3 linked regions of the Drosophila melanogaster genome follow. The protein of the gene in region 2 purifies or fractionates together with the protein of the main gene of each other region. This does not show direct contact. Each region holds a gene or a part of one and is shown on either strand. Other genes may lie near its edges.

The links. Proteins that work in one complex are often made in the same cells at the same time.
Region 1: the proteins of Not1 (region 2) and Rga purify together in Drosophila melanogaster (affinity purification with western blotting; 4 studies listed by BioGRID, with this or other methods). This does not show direct contact.
Region 3: the proteins of Not1 (region 2) and Pop2 purify together in Drosophila melanogaster (affinity purification with western blotting; 4 studies listed by BioGRID, with this or other methods). This does not show direct contact.

Annotation. Positions count from the first base shown.
Region 1 is NT_033777.3:5,607,090-5,614,898, forward strand, and holds Rga (regena), read right to left. Parts: upstream 6,024-7,809; 5' UTR 4,981-6,023; intron 3,535-4,980; 5' UTR 3,532-3,534; coding exon 3,399-3,531; intron 3,341-3,398; coding exon 3,126-3,340; intron 2,793-3,125; coding exon 2,543-2,792; exon of another isoform or gene 1,931-2,542; coding exon 1,361-1,930; exon of another isoform or gene 1,164-1,360; intron 1,093-1,163; exon of another isoform or gene 1,069-1,092; coding exon 864-1,068; intron 798-863; exon of another isoform or gene 760-797; coding exon 595-759; intron 504-594; coding exon 284-503; 3' UTR 186-283; downstream 1-185. Other genes in the region: Atu (another transcription unit), read left to right, coding at 6,373-6,403, 6,471-6,534, 6,599-7,385, 7,486-7,809. UniProt on the Drosophila melanogaster protein: Component of the CCR4-NOT complex which is one of the major cellular mRNA deadenylases and is linked to various cellular processes including bulk mRNA degradation, miRNA-mediated repression, translational repression during translational initiation and general transcription regulation.
Region 2 is NT_033778.4:9,573,660-9,578,589, forward strand, and holds the start of Not1 (Not1), read right to left. Parts: upstream 3,037-4,930; 5' UTR 2,846-3,036; coding exon 2,519-2,845; intron 2,460-2,518; coding exon 1,929-2,459; intron 1,874-1,928; coding exon 1,411-1,873; intron 1,349-1,410; coding exon 128-1,348; intron 42-127; coding exon 1-41.
Region 3 is NT_037436.4:11,999,089-12,004,457, forward strand, and holds Pop2 (Pop2), read right to left. Parts: upstream 3,828-5,369; 5' UTR 3,507-3,827; coding exon 3,498-3,506; intron 2,844-3,497; exon of another isoform or gene 2,639-2,843; intron 2,114-2,638; exon of another isoform or gene 2,003-2,113; coding exon 1,662-2,002; intron 1,603-1,661; coding exon 867-1,602; 3' UTR 524-866; downstream 1-523.

The DNA.
Region 1 (7,809 bases), on a different chromosome or scaffold from region 2:
ATTTCAAAGATATTCTAAAAATATGAATACCAACTAGACTCCAGCAGGATAAAAATAAATCGCTTTAAATTGTTAACCGGCAATTTGTACCAGAATTTGCACATACATACATATGCATATATGTATGTATATATATCCTAACACCGTTTTAGAAGAAAAACTCAAATGGATTGTTTTTAATTTTTATAATAAAACTTATTATTCAGTTAGTGTTGAGTGTCCTTGTTGCAATGCAAAAACAACAGCATACTTTCTTTTTCAATTTTTTTCATTTTTATTAATTTTATACAGACTGTCCATTCATAAACGCACTTATATTGGGACATTTATCTAATTTCTCGGGATCTATTTGGAAAACCTTGGACAAACGTTTCCAACTTTGCGCATCAAAGTAGTAGAAGGTGCCGCGCTCTTTTGTACCATTTTTTTCATATTGATCAATGCCAGGAATTCGAGTTATCCATATTTTCTCCTCCACGTGGTATCGCCACTCGCGACTATGCCTGCGATGGGAGCAGAATTTTAGTATATATGTATGTTCTATATATGTTCATACGAAGCTTAGATAATAGCTACGCAAGAGGAAGTACTCACAATTCAGCAGCTGCCATCAATTGCATCATATCGCCGATGTTCGTGTAAAAAAGGAAAAAGAGCAGGTCTTCTTGCAGCTTTTTCAGTACCGGCGCTGTTAGTTTGTCTCTTATCGCAAAGTTAATCAGATATTCGGGTGGCACGTTGAACTCAACGTCTTGTGCTCTGAAAAAAGTAAATGCAAATCCAATGTTACTAATTTGGTACACCTCTTACTCAATAGTACTCAATAAGCAATTAAATTATGTAAGTTTATTATGTAAACTGACCTGCAGGGCTGTGCTACGAAGGGGCCAGCGAAGGTTGTATGCAAGCTCTCCTGCGAGTTCAGGTTCAGGCCTAAACCCGTGAGATCCGTACCCAAGGAGAGCGTCACCAGATTGGGATCCGTTTCTGCAGCCCGAATGAACGTCAGCAGGCCAACCATGCCGAACTGGTTGTTCACCATGGTCGCTGGTATGTTTGTGACCTTCCCTATTTATGCAAAACGAACGAAAGGTAAATTTGTTACATTTTTAAATAAATAAAATATTTCATGGTACTATTATTTCTGGATAAAATGGGTCAAGGATAGTATAGCTGTTGGGCTTTTGTGATGTACACCGAAATCACCGAATTATAATATGAAACAAATAATAATAGAAACCAAGAAATCCATTGATTAAATGGTATCAATCATCCATAGAGTGTTCAATTCAAAGCTCCAAATGATCAAAAGGTCAAAAATAGCTCTCTCACATGTTGTGAGAAGTGTTCCAGCACTCACCATCTGGCGAAGTTTGCACGCCGCTCTTTACAAGTTTATCGTTGCTGGAATTATCGTTCAGATGCTCGCCGCCCGCTCCGCTCCCAGACGAGCCGCTTCCACTCCCCAGGCCGCCGCCTACGCCCATCATGGCATTGCTGTTGGGTACGCTGTTGACGCCGCCAATGCCGCTGTTACTGCCCACCAGTCCTACATGGGACCCGCCGACAACGCCGCTGGCTGCATTGCCGCCGACTCCTCCGCCTCCTGAGCTACCAGCTCCTCCGCCGCCGCCTACTGCCAAGCCCCCTATACCACTGCCAACGGCACCGAGACCATTGCCGCCTACAACGCCGACGTTGGAACCGCTGCTGCCGCTCGCTGATCCGCTGACCACTATCGAATTCATCGGCTTTTCCGTGCCGTCCAAGTGGTTCTCTGTGGACGCACCTCCGGAGCCTCCTGTTCCGGCGACGCTCCCCACCGCGTTCGTTGTGCCGTCCGAGTTTTGGGTGCCCGGTAACGCAGGGAAGTCCTCGTTAGACATCGTGAACTCCGATTGCTCTGACGTCGGTTGCTTCACCATGCCAACTGAAATCAGAAGAGGAGCGAGATGGTCGCCCAGGGCGAATGAGTGAAGCGAAGAAATTAGTACTAAAGCAGTTTAAGCTCATACAATACACACGATTTTAGTTAATTTCTTTTTCCTCAACCAATTAAAATCAATGAGTAGGTCCAAACAGCATTTGTTCAAGGTTTTAAGACATGTTACTGTGAATTTAAAGTTATCCTTCACCTATATATGAACTTATAAAAGGTTAAGTCGCTTGCTTTATGTGAACAGTTTCTTTTTATTCATTGATCATGTTTCAAAGTAAATGAGATTGCATATAATAATATGTTTGGAGTATAATCCGGAAACACAATTTCATTTCAAACTCTAAATTGCAAAAGCTCTTCATGGAATCAGAAGCCCGTATTCGGTTGGACCAACGTAGCCAAAGTAAATGTCCTTGACTGAATCTAGTTTTTGCAGCGTTTGCCATACCCAAACCAACACCCGAGGTTAGTCCCAAATACAGCGTAGCATATCTAAGTGGGCTTAATGAGCTGATCACGAGACACCACGCTTACAACCGATTCTTAATCGTAGTTTTAAAAACAAAAATAAATAAAAAGAAGTGGATTTTGATTTGAACTCACAAGAGGTAAAGAAATTACCATAGGGTTTGCTGCCCGGCGGCTGGAGCGGATTCGATTGGGGCAGTGTCTGGTCGTTCTGGCCGCGCGCATTCGTCAGCGAGGGGAACTCCGTGGGATCGAGCAGGGCAGGCGTGGAGGTGTCGCTACCACCGCCGCCGCCGAACACGTGGAAGTTATTCAAAGGACCGCCACCGCCTCCGCCCGTTCCGTAGCCGCCGCGACCCGTCTGCATGAAGTTGCCCATGTTCGACTGCGGAAAGAGATAATGATTAGCCAAGTCTTAACAATTTATTTTTAGAATTAGGACTGACATCTCCAACTCAATCTTAATAGAGGGTATATTTTTTATGTAATGTGAAAGCATTTGTAACTTCTGAAATTAATGTATATTCCGTTGTATCAAAAATATTTCCTTTATATAAATCTGATCGATCAGCGATACGATTCTCTGATGCAATCCGAAGTATTGAAGTACTAAACCCACAGTCAATGGATATAGATATTGTTATATGTTTTACTTTGAGTATCTTGGACAAGACCGAGTTGGAGGAGTTAGACTTTGTTGTAATGCCGCGCTGCTTACCATGGGGCCACTGCCCAATCCTTGCATGGCTCGCCGCTCCACAAACTGACGCTGGCCGAAGAGGTTGGCGTTGCGGTTGCCGCTCGAGATGGCGGGTCCGCCGACCGACAGCTGGGCATTCCGGTTCGGCGACAGTTGGGGCTGCTGCTGCTGTTGTTGCTGCTGCTGCGGCGCCTGTCCGTAGTTCGCCGTTCCTGGATAGGAGTTGGCGAAGTCTAAGGCAACAAATGTGAATTGGTGCTCCGTCAAAAGCTTTGGGCGACAAGTGCTTACCGGTTTGAAACATGCCCGACGTGGGCGTCACATGGCCAGCCAGGGAGCTACCACCGAATCCGCCTGTTGTCCGGCCAGCTAACGCCGCGTTCGCTATACTTCTCGGGGGTTGTTGAAAATTTAAATTCGCCATAATCTGCAATGGAAGGGGTTGTCGGTTATTAGGCTGTGGCCTTGCTTTGCTTATCTACCCATAAAGAAAAACCCATATCGTATCCGCGTCGACATCGAAGTATCACTTAAGCAGTAATCACTTAAATGTAATAGTATAGGGATTTCCTTTTGGCAAAAACAAACTAATATATATTTATTTTGGAGATTATTACGCGTTATATAACATTACGGTTAATACGAGCAATTGGGAATATGCTGGATGATTCGCAACATAAATTCTCGAAGCCATCTGCGCAGCAATCAGAGAACTGCTGTCAAATGTCTGAATCAGGGAAACTCTTCGCCCATAAACAAGGGTTTACAATAAAAACTGTGTGATTCAGTGGAGGGGGACTATATTGATAACAAATTGGCTCCCCGCAGATAATTGTCGCACACTAAATGCGAGTATATGCGTATTGAGCAAACAAACCAACAACCTTGTGGGTTAGCAGCCTGGAGCCATATATATGAAAAGGTTATCTTAACGGCAAAATGGGATCCCAAAAAAGGGCCACCATCTATAGTATATCTATAAACAAAATAGCCCGCGCCAAGTGAATCCGTTAAATGGCCGACGCATCAGCTGTCGATTGGCGAAGCGAATTCGGACAGCAAACAGAGCAGAAGGAGAAAAGGAGAGCAAATTGAGAGGCAGAGCAAGGAGGTGGAGAACGAGAAGCATGGGCAGAAAGGCTGTGGCAATTATTGCCGTTCCTCTTTGTCGTGGGCACACTCATGCACAGACCGTGTGGATAAGATGGAGACCAAGACAATGGCGATGGTGTGGGTGAGAAAACCAGAATGACTGCCACCAGGGTGCAAGGGAGTGGGTGGAGAGCGGGGCAATGCAAAAGGATATAAGCCTCAACTTGTCCCTCGATCAATTATGCAGGCAGTGGTCAGTGCAGTGCAAAAGGTGTACAGTAAAAACAGTTAACATTGTAAAATACAAAGCTTTATACCTTATCTCCACTACTGGCCAAACCACTACCGAGTTAGTCGAATTTCGTTTACTTCACTACGAAAGCTCCAGTTAGGTTTTGATGCTGCTTGCTAGTACCATAATATGTAAATAACCCTTCCTATGGTAAAGACCGGCTTTATCTTATCGAAACTTCAACGTGCGCTGAACTCGCCTGGAATGCAAGATATACTAGCACAGGATGCCAGTGCATTTAATTTGAAAGGAGCAAATCTTCCTGGAATACGGGAGCTGTCGATTAAATTGATGTTTTACCTGCACGCATGTAACTTTATCAGCTGACCTAACAGACGCTTCCCAACACTGGCGACCGCGCTTACAACAAAATTCAATGGCTAGCGTTAACTCTGGGGACAAGTGTTTAACCAACCATTTAACCTCGGGCGATTCAGCAAGTACAAAATAAGAACGACGGATCCGAAAGGAGGAATGCGCGCAACTTACCTAAATTAACGTTAGACGATACTGTCGCTTCTTGTTCTTCCACTGTTAACGCTCGCTTTCCACTCTGTCCAGCAACAACAACATACACTGATCGAATCGTTCTCACCGCATTTAACATTCCAAAGCGGCCGGCGGGACGAGGACGTAGGAGTCGTTGTCCTGGCGCCGTAACCGTAACTGTGACGGATCACGGATCGGCGAATCAGCAGGAATATGAAAGTCCGCTAACTCCCACTGGGCAGCTGTTGGTTAGCTGTGGGTGTCTCGGTCACTAGCACTCACTCGCTGGAAGCTGAAAGGATGCAACGGAGAAACGGGAGCTGGAACCGTAGCGGGTGTAGGAGCGGGAACGAGGTTAGTTAGTACTTTTCCGCGCCGAGTCGTCCCTAAATAAATGGCATATATACCGCTGTGCGTGTGTGCATATGTATATGTGCCTCGTCTGTATGCAGCGTGGTCTTCGTGCCGAAGAGACAGCGAGCGAGAGAGAGAGAGAGAGGAGAGGAGAGTCGAAGGATGTTGATGCCTGGCGGAGGCTAAAAGTTGTCCGTTTTTTCTGCGCCGCTCTTGCGACCACTGTAGTTTCTATATTCACGCTTATGCAAATGTCGCGCACGTTACACTCGGCCGATTGGATTGGCCAGGGCTCTCGCTTTTTGTTAATGTTTCCGTTTTGTATTTTATTTGTAAGTAAATAATCGCTCGCTATTGCGCTGTTGTCTCTGCTTCTTACTACACTGCTGCACAAGCACTGTGTCTGTGACCCTGTGCGTGTGTTTGTGTGTGTGTCTGTCTTTGTTTTCTCAGTTCATTGAAATTTCACCCGAAGCAGCGAATTGGGCAAATTCCCTGCTAGATTTGCGCGTCTTTTACGCCGCCGACCCGCAAATGCACTCGAACTTAATGGAGCCGGGTCCTTACGATCCACTATCGAGGGGCAGTAAACAATTCTTTAGCGCCCGAAATGGCTTTAAATTGTACACAAAAAATGTTCCGCAAAAAACTTTGTGGCTGTCACGAATACAAACACACAAGAATTAGGGATGTAAAAATCTGCTATCGAGACAGCGTTGGTATCGATAGTAGTTAGTTTGCAACGAGAGGGTTTGGTGCATTGATTACTGTATATTTCAAAGAATATTCGAATTGTTTTCTTTAAAGACAACAATTTTATTCGCCTTTGCGATTGGTAAAATAGTTGTTTACTTTTAATCGATAGACAAAAACAGTTATTGGGCTGCCATCTGGGGCGTCTATGCGAAGACCTCTTTGCGTATTTCAGTTATCGATTACTGTGACAGTGCCTAGACCTCCTAAACTCAACTTTATTGCCCGGCCGCGAATTGTCTTGATTGCAGATTTTCCGATTTTAAACAAAATTTACTTGGCATTATGGGCAGCCAAAACTCGGACGACGACAGTGGTGAGTGGCTAATGGCTAAGTCCAGGCCTGAGTAACTAATATTTACACTGTTCACATATGTATGTAGGTTCATCCGGTTCGAGTCGAAGTGGAAGCCGCAGTGTCACGCCGCAAGGAGGTAGTGCGCCCGGGTAACTATTTGATATTCAAACACGGCGGCGGGAGAGTGCTGATTACCTTCCCCTCGTTTTCCAGATCCCAACGCAGTCGCAGGTCGGGTAGTGGCAGCGATCGTTCCCGATCGGGCTCCAGGTCTTCCCGATCCCGGTCCGGCTCTGGGTCTCCGCGTAGTGCCAGGTCCGGGTCTGCAGAAAGCCGCCACTCGCAGCTGTCTGGCTCCGCTCGTAGTAAGAGATCAAGATCTGCTCACAGTCGCAGGTCGGGATCTGCGCGTAGCCGTAAATCTGGAACTCCGGAATCTCCACAAAGTCACAGATCAGGTTCGTTGCAAAGTCGCAAGTCAGGATCGCCTCAGAGTCGTAGATCTGGTTCTCCCCAAAGTCGCAAATCGGGATCTACTCACAGCCGCAGATCCGGTTCGGCCCACAGTCGCAGATCGGGATCCGCTCGGAGTCGCAAATCTGGTTCGGCACAAAGTGACCGCTCTGAGTCTCGATCGAGGTCTCATAGCGGTTCACTCAAGGGCAACGAGGAATCGCGGTCTAATTCGCCCAATCTGCAAATTGACGTAGAGCGTGCCAATTCCAAGAGCGGCAGTCGCAGCAGAAGTAGGAGCAGGAGTGGCAGTCGCACTTCCAGATCGCGTTCCAAGACGGGCACGCCGTCGCCCAATAGAAGTCGTAGTGGCAGCGCATCCGGCTCCGGCAGCGATGTGGGTGTGCCCAAGAAGAAGGCACGCAAGGCGAGTGGCTCCGATCAAGAGAAGAAAAAGAGCGGCAGCGATAGCGACATTGAGGAATCGCCCACCAAAGCTAAGAAGTCACGGCTGATCGACACTGATAGCGATTCCAATCAGGATGTGGTAAGGCACACCACTCTGAACTACTCAACTATATTGTTATTTATCTAGTTCTATAATTAAGGAAAAATTACCCTGATATATGTACATTTCAATTATGCAGGGAAAGAAAGCTCCGGCTGCAGCTGACATATTTGGAGATGCCGATGATATAAGTGACGATGAGGATGAGGCTGGACCAGCTGCCAGAAAATCCCCAGTGCGCTCCAAGAGCCGCAGTCAAAGCAAGTCCCACTCCCACAGTCGTTCTATGAGCCACTCGCGTTCCCGCTCCAGATCGCGATCCCGGGATAAAGTCGAGAGCCAAGTAGAATCGGCGCCCAAGGAGGATGAGCCTGAACCGCTTCCGGAGACCCGAATCGATGTGGAGATTCCGCGCATCTCTGCAGACCTGGGAAAAGAGCAGCACTTTATCAAGCTTCCCAAC
Region 2 (4,930 bases):
ATAGGGATTGGCTCCCGGAGTCATCAGACGCGATGGAGAAGCTGAAATTGCACGTAGAATTTCGTTAGATAGGATTAAGAGGCATCTGTGATAGATTATGCACTCATTGCCTATGAATGCCACTTACTTAGCATGTTTCCAAAATTAAATGCTCCGTTCGGGCCGCTGAGGTTGAGGCCGGCTAAGTTGTTGGACATATTCGTTAGCGGATCCATTCCTGGTCCAAACATCTGCGCGTTGAGGTTTCCGGAGAACGGTTGCTGCGGTGGCGGAGGGACTATGCCTCCAGGCAGATCCATACCACGATGGCCGCGCAGAATTGTTGGTGGAGGCGGCGGAACCAATCCTGGCTGCTGCTGCTGTTGGGCACGCGCCTTGTTAGCCATAATCGCCACGTTCGCGGTCATTTGCATGATGACTTCGACCATCTCCGGCTGCATGCAGTTATTGATGCACGTTTGCAGACAGTTGATCATGGTGGTAACTGTCTCGGGCAAAAGCTGCGCCTGCTTGGGAGGCAGCTGATCCTCTGGCACTTTTGCGTTGATAACCTGCGGGCAGCGGCGGTGCAGAACCTTGATTATAGCCTGCATAAAAGGCTCTCCATGTTCGCGAATTTTATCGGTAAGCCACTTTTCCAGCTTCAGGTACTCGCGCCGAGAGGCAAGGCAAGCCAGGTCGATAATGAATAAAAATGAACGGGCGTTGAGCAGCGCTGATAGCGCTTTTAAATCCTGGGCAAGATCCAGGATGCGCGACAGTTTCACCTGATCGAACTCATTGCCTCGGAGATACCACTCGGACATAGCATTCATGATATTGGAACGAAGTTGGAAGTTGTTCGAGCTCCAGGCGCTGGCCAAGATCACGTTCGAGTTGGGATGGTTGCCAAGGAACGTTGGTATCAGTTGGTTAAACAGATCCTGACGCAGTGGCGTCATAGGCGGACTTGTGTTCAATAAGGCCAAAAATAGCACATCGGGACAGTTCTGCGCTGGGAACTTGAATAGCTCATGGACCTGCGTATAGTATCCCTTGTCCGCAATGGAGAGCAGCACCTCCACCAGGTGAAGCGACTTCCAGGACGAGATCTCCTTATTGTCCGCATCCGGAGCCGTCTTAAGCACATCCAACGCTGGCTGGCTAAATACAAAGTCGGCGAAGGAAAAGAGATCCGGGTTCTTCAGCATTGTCGCGATAAGCGACAGCTGACCTTCCGTGTTTGCCCAGTGACGGTAAATGCATTCTGGATGTGGAAATATGTTAGAGCCAGTGGCCAGCCGAAGGATGGTGAGCAAAAGCTCCAAACCGATGCGATCCTTCAGCACGAACTCGGGATGATCAAGTTCTAAAAATTAAGAATGATATTCCTATAGATTGGCGATTGCGAAGCAATTATCTAGCTATTACCCATGCACACGTCCTTCCAGTTGAGCTGAGGCACCACCTCCTTGAGCGCCTGCACAAAGACATCTGGCTTCCAAGTTTGCGTGGCCTCCGTCGTCTCCTTCTTGTCCTTCTTATCACTGGACGAATTGCCATCGCTGCCATCGTTGTTGTTACTGCTGCCCGGGTTCTGTTGCTGCGGAGTGATTTGTGTCTGCGAAGAGCCACTGCTGTTGCTGCCACCGCCCTGTCCCTGACCAGGCCAGAAGTTCGCCGGCGTCGGTAGATTCACATTACAATCGAGCAGGGAGGAGTGCCGTCGGCACATAAGACCCACGATCTTGGCGACATCTTTGGACTGGAGCTCAGCGCGTTCTCGCTCGCGGGAACACAAATGATTCTTACACTCTTCAACGCTCGATGTAAATTCATAACCGATTTCAAGGATTAGATTAATCCAAGATGTGTCCATAATATTATTTTTGCCCTGCAACACAACATTCAATTAGCGAATTGTCTTTTTCAATGAGTGTCTTACGCACCTGGTTGGTGAATATTATCTCGCTTAAATGGTCATAAATATCCTCGATTCCCACCTCGTTCAAAGCATCTGCTTCGAAACTGGAGCTGTTGCTATTAGTCGTCGCTTCGGCCTCCGCATCCGTTTCGCTGGCACCTGCTCCCGCAATCGTCGCCGTCGTCGAGCCGTAAAGGAACGGCGCTAGAACCAGCGGTACCGCCTGGCGCGGAAACTCCTCACGAAGCTTGATCAAAAACTGTGCTTCCACCTGCGGTTGTACGTACTCGCTAAGGCAGCACAACAAATACTGCAGTAGATCGAAGGAGATCTCCCGGAGACCGCTGTCGGCTGGGCCGGTGCCTTTATTACCCAAGTAAGAGTCTATAAGTTCGCTGAGGCTACCTTTTAGGTTGTTCCTGGCAGAATGTTTGAGTTCTGTGTACGAGGAGTGGGTCAAGGCCAAGGCAAAGACGCACTCACAAACCTTGTTGATGCCGGTCAGTCGGGCGACCTGGCCAACGAGATCCGCTACCGCAACAGGCTTCAGGGACTGCTTAGGAATGAGTATCCATAAGTAATCAACACATTGTGGGCATTGTAAACTCAACTTACCTTCTGGTTGCTGGCGAAGAACTGGTCAAAAGCGTAGCAGATGTTGGACACAAACGATGAACTGTGAAGCTGACGCTCCAACTGGATGCCCAGGAGCTTCGCCTGCAGCTGGACCGTAACTGATGGCACGAGATCGCTGAAGTTGATCACGGAGAACAGGTGGCGCAGGCTGCTGCGATCCGCTTCCAGGCCGTGCTCTTTAACGAACTGCAAGATGTCGTAAATGCTATCAGTAATGTATGGTTTAGAATCAAAGAGCTGCATTGCGTAGGGTTTGGAAGCCAATATAAGTGCCTTGACAGCGACTGCCCGCAATCTGGGACACATATCACTGTATAAGGGACAGTGTATGTTTCAAACGATTCCTCAGATTCTGCGGTGACCGGGATTTTTTTTTATGTGATTTTCATCGCAAACTTGGAAATTTTGACAGGTTCTATTATGTTCTGTGAGTGTCTCAACTTTTCTCTGTACAATTGGATATGTGTTTACGGATACAGGGCAAGATGTAAAGTAACATTTTGGAGGGATTATTTCTAACTCCAGGCAACTGTTTTCAAAAGTAAATCCATTAAGTCATTATTTCTTGCCCGCTTAAAAACTTTACCCAATTGGCTTTTTAAAAGCGCAACCAGAGGGTTAAAACATGAATTTTATCATTGGGAATTCCAGTTTAGGTGCACCATTGTTGGGCTCACAGGTTTCTGAGATTATCTTGAATGCTATAACTAAATGGAAGACTATATCTCAAATTGGGCTATCGTTAAGTTAGTTAATGTATTTTCTATCCGATAATTTCTCCATGGAATCCAACAAATTCCTAGACCTTTCTTACTATAAATTCCGTTGGGTTATCCTAGTACTTCATTCCAACATTGAATATCAGTGAAAATTTGGTAATCCTACTGAGTTCGAATAACTTGAAAACTTATCAGGCTTTTTAAATGGCAGATATAGATTGTTGAGAATTTCAAAATACTGAAGTATATGACTCTGTTTTGTTATCATTTTTTTTTATCATTTTTTTTAATTTTTGAGGAATATGCCATTTACTGTCAAGAAAACGGGATCTGTAGCATAGTTTGTCCCACAAACGATTACTTTTTAGGGGATTGTTGGGCAAATGGTGCCATTCTAAGCCAAGTATTTGTTATGATACTAATTTGAATGGCAAAACTTTTCTAGGAGGCTAGATATCCCCCTCCCTCCCTACGGATCCAAAACTGTTGAAATATTTGATCCGGAGCTCGGAGTCCGGAATCAAGGCCTCACTCCGAACGGGGGAGCGAGACAACAGCTTTGGCCCCGCCGTCGCAGCTGCTCCACAACAAATTACACACGCGCCCTCTCGCTCGCACACGTTGGCGAAACGTTACATGGGTAAGGAGAGAAGAGAGCATGACGGTGCGCGAAAGGAAGGGGGTCACAGGAAAAAGTGCGACATATTGCAACTCTAGCGAAAAGAAAGCGGCCGCAATTGATATTCCCACGCAATTTGTCCCACGAACTTACTATTCAATTTGGTTTCTCTCGTTTGGCAATGAAAAAACAGAAGTTTCGGGGCCGAAAAGCCCTGCGCTTGGCTTGGGCTTCCCAATTCGAATTTCGCAATTCGATTTCGCACTACTACGCTGCAAAATTCACACTGCCATCAACTCACGAAACACGTTTGTGGCTAAGCGCACACAATTGGCCTGGTTTTACACATTCTATAAAACTTTTAGCTTAAACAAAACGCTCACAAAACGCGCAACGCCGTGCAGAGAAATTTTTTCAGCTGCCTTTACCAAAAAACTGTAATGGCGTCGGCAAAAATGCACGAGCGAGTGAAATGGCAATAGCCCATTCGTGAGTGCGAACAATTGGCAACTCTGGTTGGCCAGGTGCGATATGTTGTCGGTTTGGCAACACTAAACCCCCGCCCCCTACAAAATGTTGTTGTTATTGTTGACAAAATGAATTGGAAATGGTTCATGGAAACTTTGGTAGAATAACTTGGGCACCTACCTGATTTATTTGCTCGCTGCTCTCATTAAAATTTCGCTTGTTCACGTGCTTGACCAGATTTCGAATGTGCGTTGGCGGTGTCTTCAGTTGGCTCTCTACGTTCATAATTCTACGTATCAGTTGTCAATTCCTCAGCGGATGTTTCTTGTTGCTGTTGTTTTTGTTGGAGGCCACCAGAATTTTTTGTTCAGCACACACGTTTAGCGTGCACTGGTATTGGAGATTAGAGATATTTGACGTATTCGCTGTTGCTTCTTGGCGCTTTTCATTTCACCTACGGCGCAATTTGTTTTTGTCTCTGCCTTCCTTGGTTTTTTTTTGTTCTTTTTTGGGTCTGTAGATTCATTGGCCGCGGCCCCCGTATAAAAGGGGCCATCAGCAGCTCTACATTGCAGGCGGCATCTA
Region 3 (5,369 bases), on a different chromosome or scaffold from region 2:
GTAAGTATGGTAATTATGGGATGTATCAATGCGAGCAACTTTAGTTGGGAGCTACAAAGCGTATAAAGCACACATATTTCTACGGCAGCAAAGTCTTAGAAAGTAATCCCAAGTAGATGGGTGGGTCCTACTTGTAGATAGGATTTGTTACATACCGCAGAACCGATGTGATTGGACGAGGTTTCAATATTAGTAAATTTCATATTTAATGAATGTTAGTATGGGATGGGATTTATTCTGCAATGTTCTTGTTATTTCAAAACTATTCGGCAGTTCTCTAGAAGATAAAGGTCTTGGTACGCTGATACACACAGTAAACCGTGTGGAAACATATGTCAGCAAAGCGCTTAAAATTACAAAAGAATAATTTGTTAATTCGATATAAATGAAGAGCGTGAACTTAACATAAATTAAAATGAACATCAATACAATTAAAAAGATGTCATATGAAATCAAGCAAGCTATGATATGCATATGCCATGCCCAAACACCAAAGAATGCAAATAAACATTTAAAGAAAATTAATTCCAATTCATTTAATTTTCCATTCGAATCCAGCGCGTTTCTCATTTCAATTCGTATCGCGGGCATTACAGCTAAATAAACATGTTTCACATGGGTTTAACAGCTCCAAACTAACTACTAAGAACACTTCAAATTATGGATTTCATTCATAAATTCTGGGTCACTGGCTCTGTAAATTGTGCAGGTCACAAAAAACTAAGTACATAGATGAGTTATGTATGAAAATGCGTTATGACAACCATGAAAAACCTTAAACCTAAGGAATAATGATTATGATGGGCGGAGGCACGTTACGTTAGCAGTGGCAAGTGCACGGCAACACCAGCGAGCGAGCTGTCTAATCATCCGAAGCTATTCGAAATAGACGTATGGCGATTGGACAGCGATGCGGCATCGCTCTTGGCCATGCCGGGCGTATTAGGAGGTGTAACCATGTAGGCGCTCGAGGTGAACTGCTCGGTGGAGTTGGTGTTGCCTGTGCCGTTGCCACTGCTGATTATCGCAGATTCGTCGGGGGCAGGGCCCCCATTGTATGCCGGACGGCTCAGCAGATGGATGCAGCTGATCGTCGGCTTTAAGTTCATGGTGTGCTCAAGCAGATAGCGAAAGAGTACATCGTGCGCCACCGGTGTAATGTGGAAATCATTTGTGTGCTGTACCTCACGCATTTTGAAGAAGGCCATGCCCGTCAGCAGAGCATCCGAGCCGGCCTGATGCTGGGGGCCCACGCGCCGCAGTTCCAGCTGATCGGCAACCTCCTGCAGGCCGCCTTTCAGGTTCTTGCACGACTTCATCAGATACTTGATGTCGAAGATGTTGGGAAAGTAGATGTGCAGCAGATCGAAAAATTCAGATTCGTCCGGGGGCAGGTTCTGATCGGTGAGCAGCTTTAGAAGGTAGCCAAAATCGTAGCCGGAGTGGAAGCACAGCCACTTGATGTTTTCCACCAGCACGATGCCAGAGCTCATCAGCAGTTCGGCGAAGTCGATGGGATCGATGCCATCCTCCTCGTGCTTCTTGAACTGAATTCCGGAGTTCTGCAGCAGATCGATCGAGTCCTGCGCATACATGTCCTCGCTAGGGAAACAAACGATAATATAGGACCCCCCATTAGAGCATAAACAAAACACTTTTACCTCAGGTTAAACTTGAAGTTGAACTGCCAGGTGGAGTAGCCGGGTGGTGTCTTTCCATCGTCGTCCATGAAGGTAAGGCCCAATTGGATAATCCGCAGCAGATCGACATTACAGCGCAGCAGCTGGTAATGATAGTCCGCCGTGGAGCGGAACTCGCCGACTGGACGTGCTACCACGCCTGGAAACTCGGTGTCCATGGCCACATAGTGGTACTTCTGCACCACTTTCCGTATGGTGCGGAACTCCTCCTCCAGGTTTTGCTTCCACACATCGCGGATGCCGCACTCCTCGTTGCTGGGTATGTGGGCATGTGGCGCGCCACTGATGGCCGAGGGCATTGTCTGGGAAAAGTATTGGTTGTGGGTCAAACTACTTGTAATGTATACATATTTCAGTGTATAAGTGTGTATATGTTTGTGTTTGTTTAGTCCTAATTTAAGATGTGAAATATTAGTTTTCGCCATCAATGCTATGATTAGTTGATCAAGTCCTATCATTTTATGAAGCATAGTAAATGCTCCACAATGCAGATTTATAAGGCACAAACAAACTGAAGAACGTTTTACAAACATTATGAAACCTTTGTTTATAATGATGGTTTACTAATTGTTGTTTATGGTGCTCAGTTTTCGAATTTGTTTAAACATCAGTGTAAGGTTACCGATATCGAATATTTCCATAGATAAGGACTAATCCCAGTGTCTTGTGTTTTTGTGTATTTATGTGGAGGTAAGAGTTAGCAACATAATAAAATAGCTGGTCCAATTGGTTAAGCACGATAGCGCAACTAAACAGGAGGTTCACAATTGAAGATTGGCCAATATCGATGTTAGAAGTGCACGAATTTTGCTGCTGATACGAGGAAACAACATAAAATAAAATCATATCGAAACAAGGCAAGTGAAGGTAACGATTTTTTGGAAATTTGCTTGGAGGTGGTTACTGGAGTGATTGGGTTTACGATGGCCGCTACTTACATCGTCGCCGGACGTCGCCTGGTGCGCACCCTTCGCCGCCGGATCAGCCACCTCTTCGCACTGACCTACAACCAAGCCTCAAGCAACAAGTTCCACCTGGATGTGTGGTCTTAAGCTCTGATTCGGGGGATCAATGCTCCTGATCGAATGCAGGGGTATCGGAATAATAATTCAATCTGCCTTTACAGGATTATACCTATTGCACCTATGATGTATCGCATGCATTAACACACCTTCAGATAACACTGGGCAAGTTATTTAAAGCTGATGCTGCAATTAGACAGCATTAACATGACTTAATTTCTAACTACAGTGTGAGAAACATTTCCCTCATTGTACACAGGTTATATTTAAGGTTTTGAAATATGCAGAAAAGTTCTCAATCGCTGCTCTACCCTTTATATGTTGTATTAATTAAGATTTGGTATGCTTTACCAATTATGAATATAAGGGCGTTTAACATAAAAATATGATTTTAAGTCACATCATAGCAAGTCAGAAATTTCCATACGTTTTTGAGCATTTGCAAGTGACACTGAAGATTTGAGGGTGTGAATTTCAATCCATTTCGAAATCGGATTCATAGTGCAGGCTGGGGGGGGGGGGGGGGGAAATCAGACAAACACGAAAAAGTGACTATTTGCGGAAAATGAAGAAACCGAAAATAAATAACAGTTAAAACGCCCTAAGAAAACTGCACACACTCGCACACACGCTCACATCACACCGCACACACACACACACACACACTTGCAGCGGCATTGAAGATGCATTTGCAATTGCAGTTCGTTTTCGATTTGCGCCGTGGAAACGCAAGGCTGTGGAAATGGACCCACTCGTGGTTACCCTCGCAGCTTACCCATTTCATAATATTTGATGGCCGACCGTGTAGGTTTCGGCTATTTGCACAAATTAAATGTTTCTATCGGCGTCGCTTGTTTTGCGGGGGGGTGATGGGGGAGAAAGCGGCGAGAAAATAGCTGTTATGGGGCACTTCCGCTTCCTGCACGGCGATCGTTTTAAGCGCACACTTCAATTGGCGGAGTCCTCTGCGTTCGGCAATAATTTCCAATGAATGTTTATCAGCGAATATCGTTTGTGAGCCGCGCAAGTGCCATAATAAAAAATTGTTCGCGATTGCGGCAGTGAGGGTAAACGTTCGCTCTTCGATTCAAGTGCTGGAAAACGTGTAATTGCTACAAATATCGATAGTTTGGCGACTTTAGTGGTGCCCATCTTTTGAATTTTTAGTTTCTGTTCATAAGCATAGTAATTAGAAATCTAAATTAACAAAAAAAAATGGGTTTTGTTGTATTTAAATATTAGGCACTCAGCCACTTAAGTGCTGCCAAGCCCTGCCTTTGACTCGCTATAGCAGCCGCCTAGAGGGCGCCAGGGAAACTATGAAAGTTGGTGAGCGATGGCAACACTAGACTTTCAGCTGTTCGCTGACAGTCAAACAAATATATTTATTTCAATTTCACCGGTAGAAGTGGTAGCTTTGTGATTTTTTAACTTTAATGTTAAGTGTTAAAAGTTGATACAAAAATATAGATCATAATAATCAAGTAAGAAATGTTACTGGATTTGTGGTTTTTCTTTTTACGTCTGTCCCACTTTCCTTTTAACTTGACCCATTTGTTGTTGCAAATTCTTGAGGAATTGGCTCGCGTTATAAATAAACAAACAATTGAATCAACTGTTTTCTCAGTTTGTTTACGTTTATACCAATACAGTGCAAAACTAGTTTTTTCACACATGCCAAATTAAAAAAAGAAAGCAAATAAGATAAATAAAGCTCGCCGTCTGTCAACAATCGGCAATTATGTTTATACATACATACATACATGTACGTACATCGGTACATAACGACTGATCTCTCCAATTATTTTGGTTTCGTGGACCCTCAAAGAACGGATTTCTCCAGTTTCTTCAAAGGGTTAATAAACTTTTCGCACGTTTCGCATTTTTATGCTCAATCCGGTTACAAAATGCTGATAAAACCACTTGAACTACACGTTTCCGTACTGATAAGGGCTTTTCTTCTTATCTGACCTCTGGAATTCAATAGTTTACCTACAAGGAAGGAAACTTTCTAGATTGTGTTGCAAAAATGTCAAATTTATTTAGTTTCTATTTTATATTTAAATATTTACAAACCGATCCAACAAGAACGTTCCATTTAAACCTCCCCTTTATAGGCGTTTTTAGAAAATCATTCTAGTCGCTCTAATCGGTCTGATTATTTTAAGATACATTATATTCATTACTTATTTCACAATGCTACCTAATAGTTCACTAAACGCTGTTAAATTGTTGACTGTCGATTGTATAAATCGCATTATCATTGCTTTGTGGAACTAATAGCAATTCTAAACTCGCCATTCTTTCCACAAGCGATTGGCAATATTTGCCATTGTGGCGTTTGCAAATGACATAACAAACAAACAATTTCGCCATAATTATTGGCTCTAAATTGAAAAGAATAGTTTGTAAACAAAGCGAAATTCAATTAAAGTGCACATTGTATCTCGTGCCTTCGGTCGAGCAATTTGATCACGTTTTAGGCGACCCGAACCAATACTTTCAACTTCGCCAGTTGTTCAGCTAATTGAGGTGGTCGTGTGATCACTGATCAGGAATTCTTCGTTCACGCGATCGTTTTTCAGTCTCTGGCCAGCAACCGAACCGAATTGATCTTCCCCAGAGCTCTCCGTTCTTTCTAGAATTC